3 linked regions of the Sus scrofa genome follow. The protein of the gene in region 1 purifies or fractionates together with the protein of each later gene. This does not show direct contact. Links are inferred from orthologs where the notes say so. Each region holds a gene or a part of one and is shown in the gene's direction. Other genes may lie near its edges.

What was found. Proteins that work in one complex are often made in the same cells at the same time.
Region 2: the proteins of WRAP53 (region 1) and MDC1 purify together in Homo sapiens (affinity purification with western blotting, with the first as the bait; 3 studies listed by BioGRID). This does not show direct contact. The link is inferred for Sus scrofa from reciprocal best matches to the Homo sapiens genes WRAP53 and MDC1.
Region 3: the proteins of WRAP53 (region 1) and CCT6A purify together in Homo sapiens (co-immunoprecipitation; 3 studies listed by BioGRID and IntAct, with this or other methods). This does not show direct contact. The link is inferred for Sus scrofa from reciprocal best matches to the Homo sapiens genes WRAP53 and CCT6A.

The regions. Positions count from the first base shown.
Region 1 is NC_010454.4:52,953,002-52,957,912, forward strand, and holds the start of WRAP53 (telomerase Cajal body protein 1), read left to right. Parts: upstream 1-1,672; 5' UTR 1,673-2,008; coding exon 2,009-2,412; intron 2,413-2,559; coding exon 2,560-2,658; intron 2,659-2,764; coding exon 2,765-2,876; intron 2,877-4,911. UniProt on the Homo sapiens protein: RNA chaperone that plays a key role in telomere maintenance and RNA localization to Cajal bodies. Specifically recognizes and binds the Cajal body box (CAB box) present in both small Cajal body RNAs (scaRNAs) and telomerase RNA template component (TERC).
Region 2 is NC_010449.5:23,239,430-23,243,651, reverse strand, and holds part of MDC1 (mediator of DNA damage checkpoint protein 1), read left to right. Parts: intron 1-154; coding exon 155-293; intron 294-1,231; exon of another isoform or gene 1,232-1,271; coding exon 1,272-1,652; intron 1,653-1,731; coding exon 1,732-1,798; intron 1,799-2,750; coding exon 2,751-4,207; intron 4,208-4,222. UniProt on the Homo sapiens protein: Histone reader protein required for checkpoint-mediated cell cycle arrest in response to DNA damage within both the S phase and G2/M phases of the cell cycle.
Region 3 is NC_010445.4:16,848,688-16,852,909, reverse strand, and holds part of CCT6A (T-complex protein 1 subunit zeta), read left to right. Parts: intron 1-92; coding exon 93-196; intron 197-1,338; coding exon 1,339-1,449; intron 1,450-1,730; coding exon 1,731-1,890; intron 1,891-1,968; coding exon 1,969-2,051; intron 2,052-4,113; coding exon 4,114-4,210; intron 4,211-4,222. UniProt on the Homo sapiens protein: Component of the chaperonin-containing T-complex (TRiC), a molecular chaperone complex that assists the folding of actin, tubulin and other proteins upon ATP hydrolysis.

The DNA.
Region 1 (4,911 bases):
GCCAAACAATAACAGGGCTCCCGGGCCTCTCCGGCCGGGTTACTCCTCCGAGGCTTCGCGGGCAAACCTCTTGTTTAGCATGTCCCATTTCCACAACTGACAGCCTTTAAATGGACTTTCTCCATCCTGAGGCGCTGAAGGCCAGTTGGAAAGTTCACTCAAGAAAGGACAAAGGTCCGGAAGTTAGCACCTTGGACTTCCCGGAGCACTCCGGATAACCACTTCGGAATGGAGTCCAGGGTTCCACTGGGATGCCATACGCACTAAAATCTCGAGCCATAAATCCCCAAAGTTCCAAGATCCCAAAGCCTCGGACCTTGATGCTTTGTGTGTCTTATTAAGGGCTCCCCCACACCGGGTACTGAAATGGGGTGGTGGCGGTGGTGGGGAAGAACCCCTTAGGCAGGCTCAAGTTTTCCCCAAAGCCCCACTACCCGGCGCAGGTGTTCAGCTTTTTAGTTCGGTTGGTCCTAACATCCCTATCATCTACACTCAGGCCTCCCAACATTGCATTCCTCTGTTGATGCCGCTAGAAGAACTTCCATTTCCCCCCCCCCCCCAAATCACTAAATCTTTCGCTCCACCTCCATCCTCCTTTCTTCTGAGCTGAAAATACACAGACCCGAGAGCCCATGACTCATAGAGTATTCATCAGGCTCAGTTAAGAGCTTACCCGAAGCTCAGGAGAGCGTGTCACTGTCCTGGGATGCACGCTCGAGACGGGACGTCAGGTGACCCCGGAGACCAGCAGCTACCTGCGCCAAGGATGGTGGCCCTGGACTTTTGAGGAGCTCAAAACTTTTAGCGCCAGTCCGAGCACATGGGAGGGGAAAATCCCAATCCCAGCAACCATCGCGAGACTCCTGGCACAAAGTCGCCATGACAAGTAAGGGCAAGCAATTACCCTGCGGGCGGTGGCGACGGACGGAGGTGGTGAGGGTGAGGGGAGTCAGGATTCCTGCTGTGTTGGTTTTGTAGCTACTGACAGTTTGCGGTGAAGAAATTCGACAACCCAGATCTGTGAGAACAGAATTGGTGGAAACCATTTTGAAAGACTTGTCCCCGAGTCAGACATGAAGGTGAAAGAAAGACAGCCTTTGCACCTTTTGCCTGGAACTCTGCTCTCCCAGATGGCTGGATAGTTCCTCATTAGCTAAAATGTCAATTTTTAGGAAGACCTTCCTTAATGTTCCAAGCTAACGTATTCTCCTAGTTACGTTGTATCACACTGTCTTGTTTAATTTCCTTCCTAGACCCTATCACGTTTTGAAATAATTTGTTCCTTGCCTTCAATACACAGCAACCTAAGCGTTAGGAGAGCAGAGACCTTGCCTACTATCTTATTCATTCTTGTCTTTTCCAGTACAGTACTGGGTAGCAAAGAAGAGCTCAATGATAAATATTTATTGAATGAATGAAAAGAGACGGAGGTCTGAGGAGTTGAGATGCAAAACAGGTTCAAACCCCGTAAAAACAAATATAGCGCTCGCGCCCTCTGCAGGTGGGGAGGGGAGTAGGTGCTTGAAGAATGATAGCGCGAGGAGCTCAGACACATCTCCCTGACTCAGAAGCTCTCGGACTACAAGTCCCAGCAGGCACTAGGAGATTCAGGACTGGAGGGGAACGGTAACCCGTGACCTGTTACGTCCCTGCCCCGCCCCTCTTGTGGGTCGCCCGCGAAGTCTGATCCGGGATGCGGAGGTCCAATCGAATGGTGGGCCCAAATCCCGCGAGAACAGGTGGCGCGTAGCCACCGACAGGGCTAAGGATCGCCGAGCTCTCCAACATTCCTGTTCGCCCGCCTCGCCTCGCGAGGCCTGGGGGCGGGGGGCTGTTTTCTGTCCTATCCCGGGAGCAGAAAGAAGGCACTGCTGGGTTTCTCCAGTTCTGCGTCCGGATCCGTGCGAACTTACGGCGGTCTCTGCCGTTCCGCAGGCCCGGCAGCTGGTAGCCGGCGGGAAGAGGATTGCCTGGCCGCGGCCAATGTTTGCCGTGCTTCCTCTGCAGTATGAAGACCCCGGAGGCGCCAGTGTTAGCTCCGGACTGCCTTCCTTCAGACCAGGCCCCAGCTGCAGCCCGTCTCTCTCCTCAGGCTTCCTCGATGGATAAAAATACGAACCCTGAACAGACGCCACCGCCACCCGATGGGGATGATGCGCCCCGGATATCCCCGGATCCTGGAGCTGGCTCGGCCGTGTCCCAGGAGCTGGGGGAAGGGGACCCAGCTTCTCTCTCCACTCCGTTGGAAGCTGAGTTTGATACTCCTAGTGAGTTGAGCCCTCGAATCGAGGAGCAAGAACTTTCTGAAAAAGTGAGCCTTCCTGCAGAAGAAACGAACAAGCCAGAGTTGGGGCCGGGAGAAGACATGGAAGATGTGTCTGAGGAACCCGCTCCAGAGGATGAGGGATACACGTAAGTGCTGATGGCAGTTGGCTCAGGAATCTGAGGAGGTTGGAAATGTGAGATATATCTCATCCGCCAGTCCTCAGCCCCACTTCTCCAGGCCCATTTCTCCTTGGCTTTGGCGACCCAGGTTTGTCTTCCCCATCTTCCTTCCAGCACTTGGAACTACAGCTTCTCGCAGCTACCCCGGTTTCTTAGCGGTTCCTGGTCAGAGTTCAGCACCCAACCTGAGAACTTCTTGAAAGGCTGTAAGTGGTAAGTAAGGATGAGGAGGGGGCTCACCTCTGCCACAGGTCTGCTCAGCTCAAGCCCAACACTCGCAAGATACAGGTCTATCCAGGCTTCTCTCTCCTACTCCTAGGGCCCCTGATGGTTCCTGCATCCTGACCAATAGTGCTGATAACGTCCTGCGGATTTATAACCTGCCCCCAGAGCTGTACAGTGAGGGGGAGCAGCTGGAATACGCAGAAATGGTAAGGGTAGGGACTAACTGCCCCTTCCTCAGCCAGGGCACTTTTAAGTCCTGCCTGTAGATGGAGAAAGTACAGTCCACATGTTTCCTGTCACAAACAGGGTATTTTTTCACCGTGAGTTTCCACAGGTAGCATTTTCGGCCGTCAGTTCCGAAGTCATTTAAAGTGATATTTGGCTTATCTTTCATTAGGAATATATGTTTTCCATAAAGGAGTAGTGGATTTCTCTCCGTAGTTTTTAATTGACTTTCAGATATTTATTGAATGACCACTAATATGCCACCTACTGTGTTTGGTGTTGGGGTGAAGTGATGAACGAGACAGATGAAGAACTGGTTTGCTTTCTTGTGTGGGAAACATGTTACCCAATAAGCAGTCAAGTTCATTATTGAGTTTAACAAATACCATGAAGGGGTATTTGTTAAATACCGCAATGGGAATGAATCCAGCTAGGAACCATGAGGTTGCAGGTTCAATCCCTGGCCTTGCTCAGTGGGTGAGGGATCTGGCATTGCCGAGAGCTGTGATGTAGGTCACAGATGCGGCTCGGATACTGCATGGCTGTGGCTGTGGTTATGGCCGGCAGCTGTAGCTCCGATTCGACCCCTAGCCTGGGAACCTGCATAGGCCACAGGTGCGGGCTTTAAAAAAAAAAAATATATATATATATATATATACCGTGAAGGAAGTAAACAGAATGAGGAGAGATTAACCAGAGGATACCACTTTAAATAAAGTGGCTGGGGAGGAGTTCTCTGAAAAGGAAACATTTGAGCTAAGACCTGAAGGATGACAAGATCGGCATGTGAAGAGGTATAGAAAGAGTGCTCCACAAAGAGGCAGAGATGTGGGAATTCCCGTCGTGGCGCAGTGGTTAACAAATCCGACTAGGAACCATGAGGTTGCGGGTTCGATCCCTGGCCTTGCTCAGTGGGTTAAGGATTTGGCGTTGCGGTGAGCTGTGGTGTAGGTTGCAGATGCGGCTTGGATCCCGCATTGCTATGGCTGTGGCGTGGGCTGGCAGCTACAGCTCTGATTCGACCCCTAGCCTGGGAACCTCCATATGCCGAGGGAGCGGCCCTAGAAAAGACAAAAAAAAAAAAAAAGAAGGGGGCAGAGATGCTACAACAACCCAGAGAACCCAGAGCTGGGAAAGAACTTCATGTGTTCAAGGAACAGAAAGAAGGCCACCATGCCTGATGCCAGATCTTGTGGGTGGGGCCTTCGGAGTGCCTCTGGGAAGCCATGGGAGAGTTTTAAAAGAGAAGAGTGTTGGGAGTTCCCATTGTGGCTCAGTGGGTTAAGAACCAGACTAGGATCCATGAGGAGGTGGGTGCCATCCCTGGCTTTGCTCAGTGGGTTAAAGGATCCGGCGTTGCCATGAGCTGCACGCATAATTCGAAAATGTGGCTCAGATCTGGCGTTGCTGTGGCTGTGGTGTAGGCGAGCAGCTGTGGCTCCAATGTGAGCCCTAGCCTGGGAACTTCCATATGCCACAGGTGTGGCCATAAAAAGAAAAATAAAAAATAAAAGAGTGAAATGATAGTTGAAGTTTATTTACTCATTTATTTTGGCTGCACATGAAAGTTCCCAAGCCCAGGATTGAACCCGTGCCACTGCAGTAGCAATGCCAGATCCTTAACCACCAGGCCACCAGGGAATTCTGATGGACTGTGAGTGGTCAAGAGTGGAGACTCTGTTAAGACGCAGTTTGTCATAGTCCAGGCGAGAAACGATGCTGGCTTGGGCTGGGGTGGCATCAGGAGAGAGAGAGATGGGTGGAGTTGAAGTATATTTTGTGGGACTGCGAAGCCAGTGGGGTGGATGGAGATACAGTTCACTTGGGAAGTGAAGAGCTCTTGGGATGGAAGTCAAGGGTTTTTAGGTCGCGGCAATGTAAATCTAAGGGGAGACTTTGAGAAGGGTGCTCGGGATGTAGTTTGGGAGTGGGAGAGCATCTTGTGGCTTGAGAGTGGATTCAGTCTTGAGAGAGAGCATAGATGGAGAAGGAGAAGGCTCAAGCAGAGCCTGGAAT
Region 2 (4,222 bases), on another chromosome or scaffold:
CCTGATTCAGAAGGATAACAGCAGAATGCTTGGCAGGAAGGGAAGCATCAGCATCCATAACTTCCAGGTTTATCCCAGTTAGCAATCTTCTCTCTGAGGCTGCATGTGTGAACCATTGATTGACAGAGGTGATAATAATGTGTTTTTTCCTCAGATCATGGAGGACACCCAGGTTATTAACTGGGAGGCTGAAGAAGAGGAGGTTGAAGAGGGACCCAGTGAACCTTTGGGGTGTAACTTGCAGCCCGTAGGGCAACTGCGTATCTTCAGTAGTTCCTATGGACCAGAAAAAGGTATTCGGTGCTAAAGTACTGATAGTGGCCTCTTCTGTGGGGAGGGAGGTGGAGGGTTGCAAGCTTCTATATGTGTCAAGATCTGAAAAAATGTTTTACTGGGAATGGAGAAGGAAGGATTGATTGAATTGATTGCTCTCGGCAAGTGCCCTGGACTCCATGGGGGTGATTTTACTTTGGTGGGAGAAGATAAAGGGGTTTAAGTGAAAACCCGGTGAGTCTTGAAATGGATAGTGACGAGGTTTTGCACAACAGTGTGAATATACTTAATGTCACTAAACTGTACACTTAAAAATGGCTAAATGGCAAATTTTATGTATATTTTACCACAATAAAAAATAAGCCAGGAGGAGTTCCCATTGTGGTGCAGTGGTTAACGAATCCGACTAGGAACCATGAGGTTGCGGGTTCGATCCCTGCCCTTGCTCAGTGGATTAGGGTTCCGATGTTGCTGTGAGCTGTGGTGTAGGTCCAGACACCGCTTGGGTTCTGCATGGCTGTGGCCGGCAGCTGTAGTTCCGATTTGACCCCTAGCTTGGGAACCTCCATATGCCGTGGGTGCGATCCTTAAAAAAAAAAAAAAAAAGATCCTGACTGTCGTGGTTTGGCGTCACTGCAGAGAGGCGGGTTTGATCACTGGCCATGGCACATTAGGTTAAAGGATCCAGCATTGCCACACCAGTGGCATAGGTTGCAGCTGCGGCTGGAATTCAGTCCCTGGCCCGGGAACTTCCATATACCCCAGATGCGGCCATTAAAGAAAAAGGAAAAAAAAAAAAAATCAGTATAGATGGATGAGGTGTTGAGTACAAATAAGGCATTGCATGTATTCCTTATTACCTAATTATCTTAGGTATCTTTTGTTTTCCTAATGTACTTGGGGGCCTTGAGTGAGCAGTGGGGGACTTAACAGGAACGTTTTCCTAATAGCAGGTCAGGGCTCTGGCCTTGGAACCTCTCTACCTCTCTGATTCTTAGATTTCCCACTCTACCTTGGGAAGAACGTGGTGGGCCGAATGCCCGAGTGCTCTGTGGCCCTGCCTTTTTCATCCATCTCCAAACAACATGCAGTGATTGAAATCTTGGCCTGGAACAAGGCGCCTGTCCTCCGCGACTGTGGGAGCCTCAATGGCACTCAGATCCTGAGGCCTCCCAAGGTCCTGGGCCCTGGGGTGAGTCATCGTTTGAGGAACCGGGAGTTGATTCTCTTTGCTGACTTGCCCTGCCAGTACCATCGCTTGGATGTCCCCCCGCCCTTGGTCTCTCGGGGCCCTCTAACTGTAGAGGAGACACCCAGGGGACAGGGAGGAACTCAACCGCACAGGCTTCTGTTGGCTGAGGACTCAGAGGAGGAAGTAGGTAAGTCCGAGTATTGGGAGGGCAGGTGAGGAGATGGGGACGGTGGCTGTAAAATCATCAACCTTTTTACTCCTGACAGATTCTCTTTCTGAAAGGTGTGTGGTGAAAGGACCAAAGACTTCTTTGACAACAGTGATTCCAGAGAGGTGAGTGCCAGAGGCCAGACAACTGAGTCCTCAAAAGGAGGAGGAACAGGAGTTCCCACTGTGGCTCAGTGGAAACGAACCCAACTAGGATCCATGAGGATGCTGGTTCAATCCCTGGCCTCACTCACTGAGTTAAGGATCTGGCGTTGCCATAAGATGTGGTGTAGGTGGCAGATGCAGCTTGAATCCACGTGGCTGTGGCGTAGGCAGCAGCTGCAGCTCTGATTCAACTCCTAGGCTAGGAATTTCCACATGTTGCACCTGCAGCCCTTTAAAAAAAAACGGTGGAACCAAGGGCTGGAGGATCCAAGAGAGCTCATGGAGGTCAGGGCTGGGAAACTCCTCATATTCTTTCATTCAACTTAGTTTTATTTGTTTCTTTTTAGGGTTGCACCTGTGGCATATGGAGCAATGCTGGATCCAAGCCACGTCTGCAACCTATACCACAGCTCACAGAAACCCTGGATCCTTAACCTACTGATCAAGGGCGGGGATCAAAACCACATCCTCATGAATACTAGTTGGATTCTTAACCTGCTGAGCCATAGAAGGAACTTCTCACTCAACTGAATTTTTATTGATCACCTCTGATGTGCCAAGTGGAAAACGAATGGCTGGAGATAGAAAAGCAAATACTGGAATTCCCATTGTGGCTCAGCAGGTTAAGAACCTGACACAGTGTCCATGAGGATGTGGGTTCAATCCATGGTCTCTCTCAATGGGTTAAGGATCCAGCATTGCTGTGGCTATAATATAGGCTGGCAGCTCCAGCTCCAATTCAACCCTTAGTCCAGGAACTTCCATATGCTACAGGTATGACCTGAAAAAAAAGAAAAAGAAACGAAAAGCAAATACTACCTCATGTCTGCTCTCGAGGAGCTCCCAGTTGAGTGGGGTTTCCCTTCTGGAGAAATAGATTCTGTAGACTCTCTCTCTTCTCCTCCCTTCACAGTGATGAAGAGGGGCCTTCCCCCGCCCCAGATGGCCCTGGACCACCTTTTGCCTTCAACTTGAACAGTGACACGGATGAGGAAGAAAGTCAGCAACCAGGAGCAGGAGAGGCTCCCTCAGCTGCAGAGACAGAACAGCCTAAACCTGTCACAACCGAAATCCAGCTCATAAAGGACCAGTGTCCAGTGAAGGAGAAGCACAAGGACGCAAGAGTTAAGAGGGCTGCCAGCAATGGGGTGGTTCCAGTTGGGGCGATTCTGGAGAGGAGCCAGCCTGCTGGGGAGGACAGTGACACAGATGTGGATGAGGGGAGTGGGCTTCCACGGAGGCCAGCTGGAGCCCATTCAGAAAGGGCCCAGCCTTGTGGCTTCATAGACAGTGATACTGATGCGGAAGAAGAGGGGATCCCCGCCACCCCAGCAGTAGTTCCCGTGAAGAAGAGGCAGATCTTCCATGAAGTTGGGACAGAGAGCCCCCAGGCACCTGGCGTGGCACATGCACAGGAGAGCCCGGCTGGTAGTGATACAGATATAGAGGAGGGAGAGGCCCCCCGGACGGTCCCTCTGGACAGCAGCCGAGCCTCCATGATGATCGACAGCAACATGGATGACGAGGAAGAAGTCTCAGCGGCGCTCACTCTGGCACGTCTGAGAGAGAGCCAGGCTGTTCCATGGAACAGAGATGCAGGTGCAGGAGACCACAGGGCCCAACCTGTGGCCCTTCTGGATCAAAGCCAGGCCTCTGCTGGGAGAGACAGTGACACAGACATGGAAGAAGAGGGGCTCCCCCTAGAAAAGAGAGGAAGTCTCCCCAAGGGTCCTGCAGACAAGGCCCATCCAGAAAAGAGCCAGCCTCCTCTCAGGGGCAGTGACGTGAAGGTGGAGGAAGATGAGCGCTCACCTGGAGTCCACCCAGGGAGAAGCCAAGCCTCTGCCACTGTGGACGCCATCACCCAAGTGGAGGAGAAAGCCCCACCAAGGCCAGCTGTTACACTTTCAGAGAAGCATCAGGTGCCTGTGGCATGGACACCTCAAACAGATGTGGAGGCAGAAGGCGACCCAGCAAAGCTGCCTGTGGTGCATCCAGCGGAAGCCCGCCCTCCTCCAGCTGGGGGCCATGAACCAGATGTGGAAAAGAACACGTCCTTAGCAGCCTCAGCTGGGGCAGACGTCAGAAAGAGCCAGCTTCTGGCAGAAGGGGATGCTGGGACGGAGTGGGCTGTAGCCATTCTTGAACAGGACCGAGCTCTTGGGGCCGGGGCCCAGAGTGTGTCAGCCAGGGCACAGGTGGGGCAGGACCTTCCCCTTGTCTCAAGAGAGCACCTAGCAGATGTGGCGGTGGACACAGGCGCTCCAGGGGAAGCCACCCAGACACAGAGAGAGGGAACCCAGGCCCTCACAGAGAGGGAGAGAGAACTAAACGTGGACAGGACCATAGACTCTGGAGACAACCGTGACGGTCAGTACTGGCTTC
Region 3 (4,222 bases), on another chromosome or scaffold:
AAGGTAAATGACTTCAGGCCTTTACAAATGATGCATTCTGTTAGCACACAGAAAAAGACTTCTATGAATTAATGATTATACTCCTATTGTAGGCTGTAGTGGACTCTGTTTTGGCCATTAAAAAACAAGATGAACCTATTGACCTCTTCATGGTTGAGATCATGGAGATGAAACATAAATCTGAAACCGATACAAGGTAGGTGGTGGAATGCTAGGAAATGCTTGAGTGTGTTTACAGACTTGAAGGAGCTTATACAATACGTGTTTTTGCCTGTTTGTGTTTGTTTTCTTGCCTAGTTTGTTTGTTTGTTTGTTTGATTTTTTTGCCTTTTTAGGGCCTCACCGGTGGCACATGGAGGTTCTCAGGCTAGGGGTCACATTAGAGCTATAGCTGCCAGCCTACACCACAGCTACAGCAACACCAGATCCGAGCATCGCCTGCAACTTACTGGACAGCTCATGGCAATGCTGGATCCTTAACCCAGTGAGCAATGCCAGGGATCGAACCTGTGTCCTCATGGATGCTAGTCAGATTGGTTTCTGCTGAATCAAGATGGGACCTCCAAAGATGAATATTTAACTTAGTATTTCTTCTTGAAATGAAGTTCATGGTGTGGTGTATTTATAGTCAGAATGATTCTGGGGAAAGTCAGCTGCATCAGCCATTTGGCATTTGTTGAACGTTTGTGCAAAGCATATGAGAGACTTGGAATTTTTAAATTTATTTTAAAGGCCTACTTTGAAGACTTTTTTTTTTTTTTTTTTTTTTTTTTTTTGGTCTTTTTGTCTTTTCTAGGGCCTCACCTGTGGCGTATGGAGGTTCCCAGGCTAGGGATCCCATCAGAGCTATAGCTGCCGGCCTACGCCAGAGCCACAGCAATGCCAGATCTGAGCTGCGTCTTCAACCTGCACCACAGCTCACAGCAGTGCCGGATCCTTAACCCACTGAGTGAGGCCAGGGATCAAACCTGCAACCTTGTGGTTCCTAGTCAGATTCATTAATCACTGAGCCATGATGGGAACCCTGAAGACTTTAAGGGAGGTGATCACAGTTTAGGAGCCTACCAATTATGACAATTTCTCTGTAGAATTTTCTGTCCAAGACAGGGTTTTTACTTTCATTTGAATGGGTTATTTTTGTTGTGTCTTCTGGAATATTGCTTTTCACAGTGAACCTCCCTGGGTATTACCCAAAAGTCCTATTCAGAGAGCTTAAGAGATAAAGCTTATTGTGTAAAAATTTTCCAATACAGTCTCAGTTCACTGTTTTAATTTTGCTAATGTATGTTTCCCCCATGTGGAAATTAGTAAGAATATAATTTGTATGTGTTTGAACAGCTTGATCAGGGGTCTTGTTTTGGACCATGGGGCACGGCATCCGGACATGAAAAAGAGAGTAGAAGATGCATACATCCTCACGTGCAATGTGTCATTGGAATATGAAAAAACGTGAGTTTATAGCTCCTTAAAGATGAAAGGAGGGTGGAGGAGCTTGGTATATGGGGCAAGTCACTTTTTTTGGGAGACTCGGTTTCCCCACTGTAGGACAGTAATGCCTCAGTCAAAAAAGTATGGGAAATAGCCTCTGAAAACATACGGGGGGTGGGGGGGTGTGGAGCTCAGTGACTATTTGCTAAAGCTCAGGACTGACTCAGTTTCTAAGGCTGCTGGCTTATTGTCTACTCAAAAAATAAATACTTTCCTCTGATTTTTGTAATTTCTTTTTTTAGAGAAGTGAATTCTGGCTTTTTTTATAAGAGTGCAGAAGAGAGAGAGAAACTAGTAAGAGCTGAAAGAAAATTCATTGAAGATAGAGTTAAGAAAATAGTAGAGTTGAAGAAGAAAGTATGTGGTGATTCAGATAAAGGATTTGTTGTTATTAATCAAAAGGTGAGAAATTTTGCTTTATAAATTAGTCTGCTTTTATTTTAAGGTGAATTATATTGAAGCTTACTTTTATTCTTATAGGGAATTGACCCCTTTTCCTTAGATGCTCTTGCAAAAGAAGGCATAGTAGCTCTACGTAGAGCTAAGAGGAGAAACATGGAAAGGTACGGACAGCAGGTTATCTGTGACCTGAATTTCACTTATTTTGCAAGTTAACTTGGATTATTGCTTTCCCCCCTTCATATTTTTGTGGGGTTTTTTGTTTGGTTTGGTTTGGTTTTTGTTTTGACACTCCTGTAGCATGTGGAAGTTCCCAGATGAGGGATCAAACCTGAGCCACTCCAGTGACGACACAGGATCCTTAGCCCACTGTGCCACAGGAGAACTCCTGTTCTTGTGGTTTTCTGATTTTTTTTTTTATTGCAATGAAATGTACGTAATATAAAATATGTCATTTTACCTGTGGGGTTTTTTGTGTTGTTGTTGTTTTTTGCTTTTTAGTGCCACACCTGTGGCATATAGAAGTTCCCAGGCCTAGGGGTCGAATCGGAGCTACAGCTGCCGGCCTACACCACAGCCACAGCCATGCCAGATCTGAGCCGCGTCTTCGACCTACACCACAGTTTATGGCAATGCCAGATCCTTAACCCGCTGATCAGGGCCAGGGTTCAAACCCGCAACTTCATGATCCCTACTCAGATTCGTTTCCGCTGTGTCATGACAGGAACTCCTTACCTGTGTTTTAAAATGTGCAATTCTTTGTCATTAAATTACATTCAGGAGTTACCTGGTGTTGCAGCAGGTTAAGAATCCAGCGTTGGTGTTCCTGTTGTGGCTTAGCAGTAGTCAACCCAACTAGTATCCATGAGGATGCACATTCGATCTCAGGCCCTGCTCAGTGGGTTAAGGATCTGGTGTTGCTGTGAGCTGTGATGTAGGTTACAGATGGAGCTTGGATCCAGTGTGGCTGTGGCACAGGCTGGCAGGTGGAGCTGCAGCTCTGATTCAACCCCCAGCCTGGGAACTTCCATATGCCTGAGCCACAGTTGTGGCCCTGAAAAGCAGAAGCACATTCACAGTGTTGTACAACCATTGTTCATTTCAAGAACTTTTTCCCTTGTAAGCTGAAAGTCTGTACTCAATAACTGCATACCCTCTCTAGTAAATACTATTCCATTTTCTGTCTCTCTAAATTTGGTACATGGTGTAAGGGAATCATGAGGTATTTATCCTTTTGCGTGGCTTATTTCACCTGGCATAATCTTTTCAAAATTTATGTTGTAGCCTGTATCGGGATCTCTTTATTTTGTTTATTCATTTATCTGTCAATGGACATTTATTTTGTCCTTCTACCTTTTGGCTGTTGTGAGTAGTGCTGCTATGAGTGTTGATATATACTTGTGGTTTTTTTGTTTCATTTTTTGTTTGTTTTGTTTTTTAGGGCTGCACCCTCAGCATGTGGAAGTTCCCAGGCTAGGGGTCGAATCAGAGCTACAGCTTCCAGCCTGCACCACAGCTCACAGCAACACCAGATCCCCGACCCACTAAGCAAGGCCTGGGATTGAACCCACATCCTCTTGGATACTAGTCAGATATGTTTCTGCTGAGCCATGATGGGAACTCTTCTACTCATTTTTAAATCATGACCTGTACTGTACGTAATTTCACATGTCCAGAGACAGCATCAAGGATTTTTGGAGAAGTACTTTCTCCCAAAGAGCTTACCATGGTGGATAGCTCTTGTGAACCTTTGAATTCAAAGCAGTATTTGCTCCTCTGAATTGACTTGGGTAACATGGTTAAATGGAGAGTTAGGAGAAAAGACCAGTTTTTAACTGGTTCCTGGTGAATGGAAAAGCATAAGCTAAAATATATTTTAAAATATGCTTATAGGACTTCCTATTGTGGCTCAGAGGTTTAAGAAAACCTGACTAGTGTCCATGAGGGTGTGGGTTAGATCCTTGGCCTTGCTCAGTGGCTTAAGGATCCTGTGTTGCCGCAAGCTGCAGCATGGGTCGAAAATGCGGATTGGATCCTGTGTTGCTGTGGCTGTGGTGTAGGCCTGGGAACTTCTGTATGCCACAGGTGGCCCTAAAAAAAAAAAAAAAAAAAATACGCTTTTAGTATATAATTTCGAAGAAGATTGCTTTTTAAAAGTTACTAATCTTTTTAAGTGTAACTAACAATGTCACCTCTGCATCTCCCTTAAACACTTGAATATTCCAGGCTGACTCTTGCTTGTGGTGGGGTAGCCCTAAATTCTCTTGATGACCTAAATCCTGATTGTTTGGGACATGCAGGACTTGTCTATGAATATACATTGGTAAGTGTATTT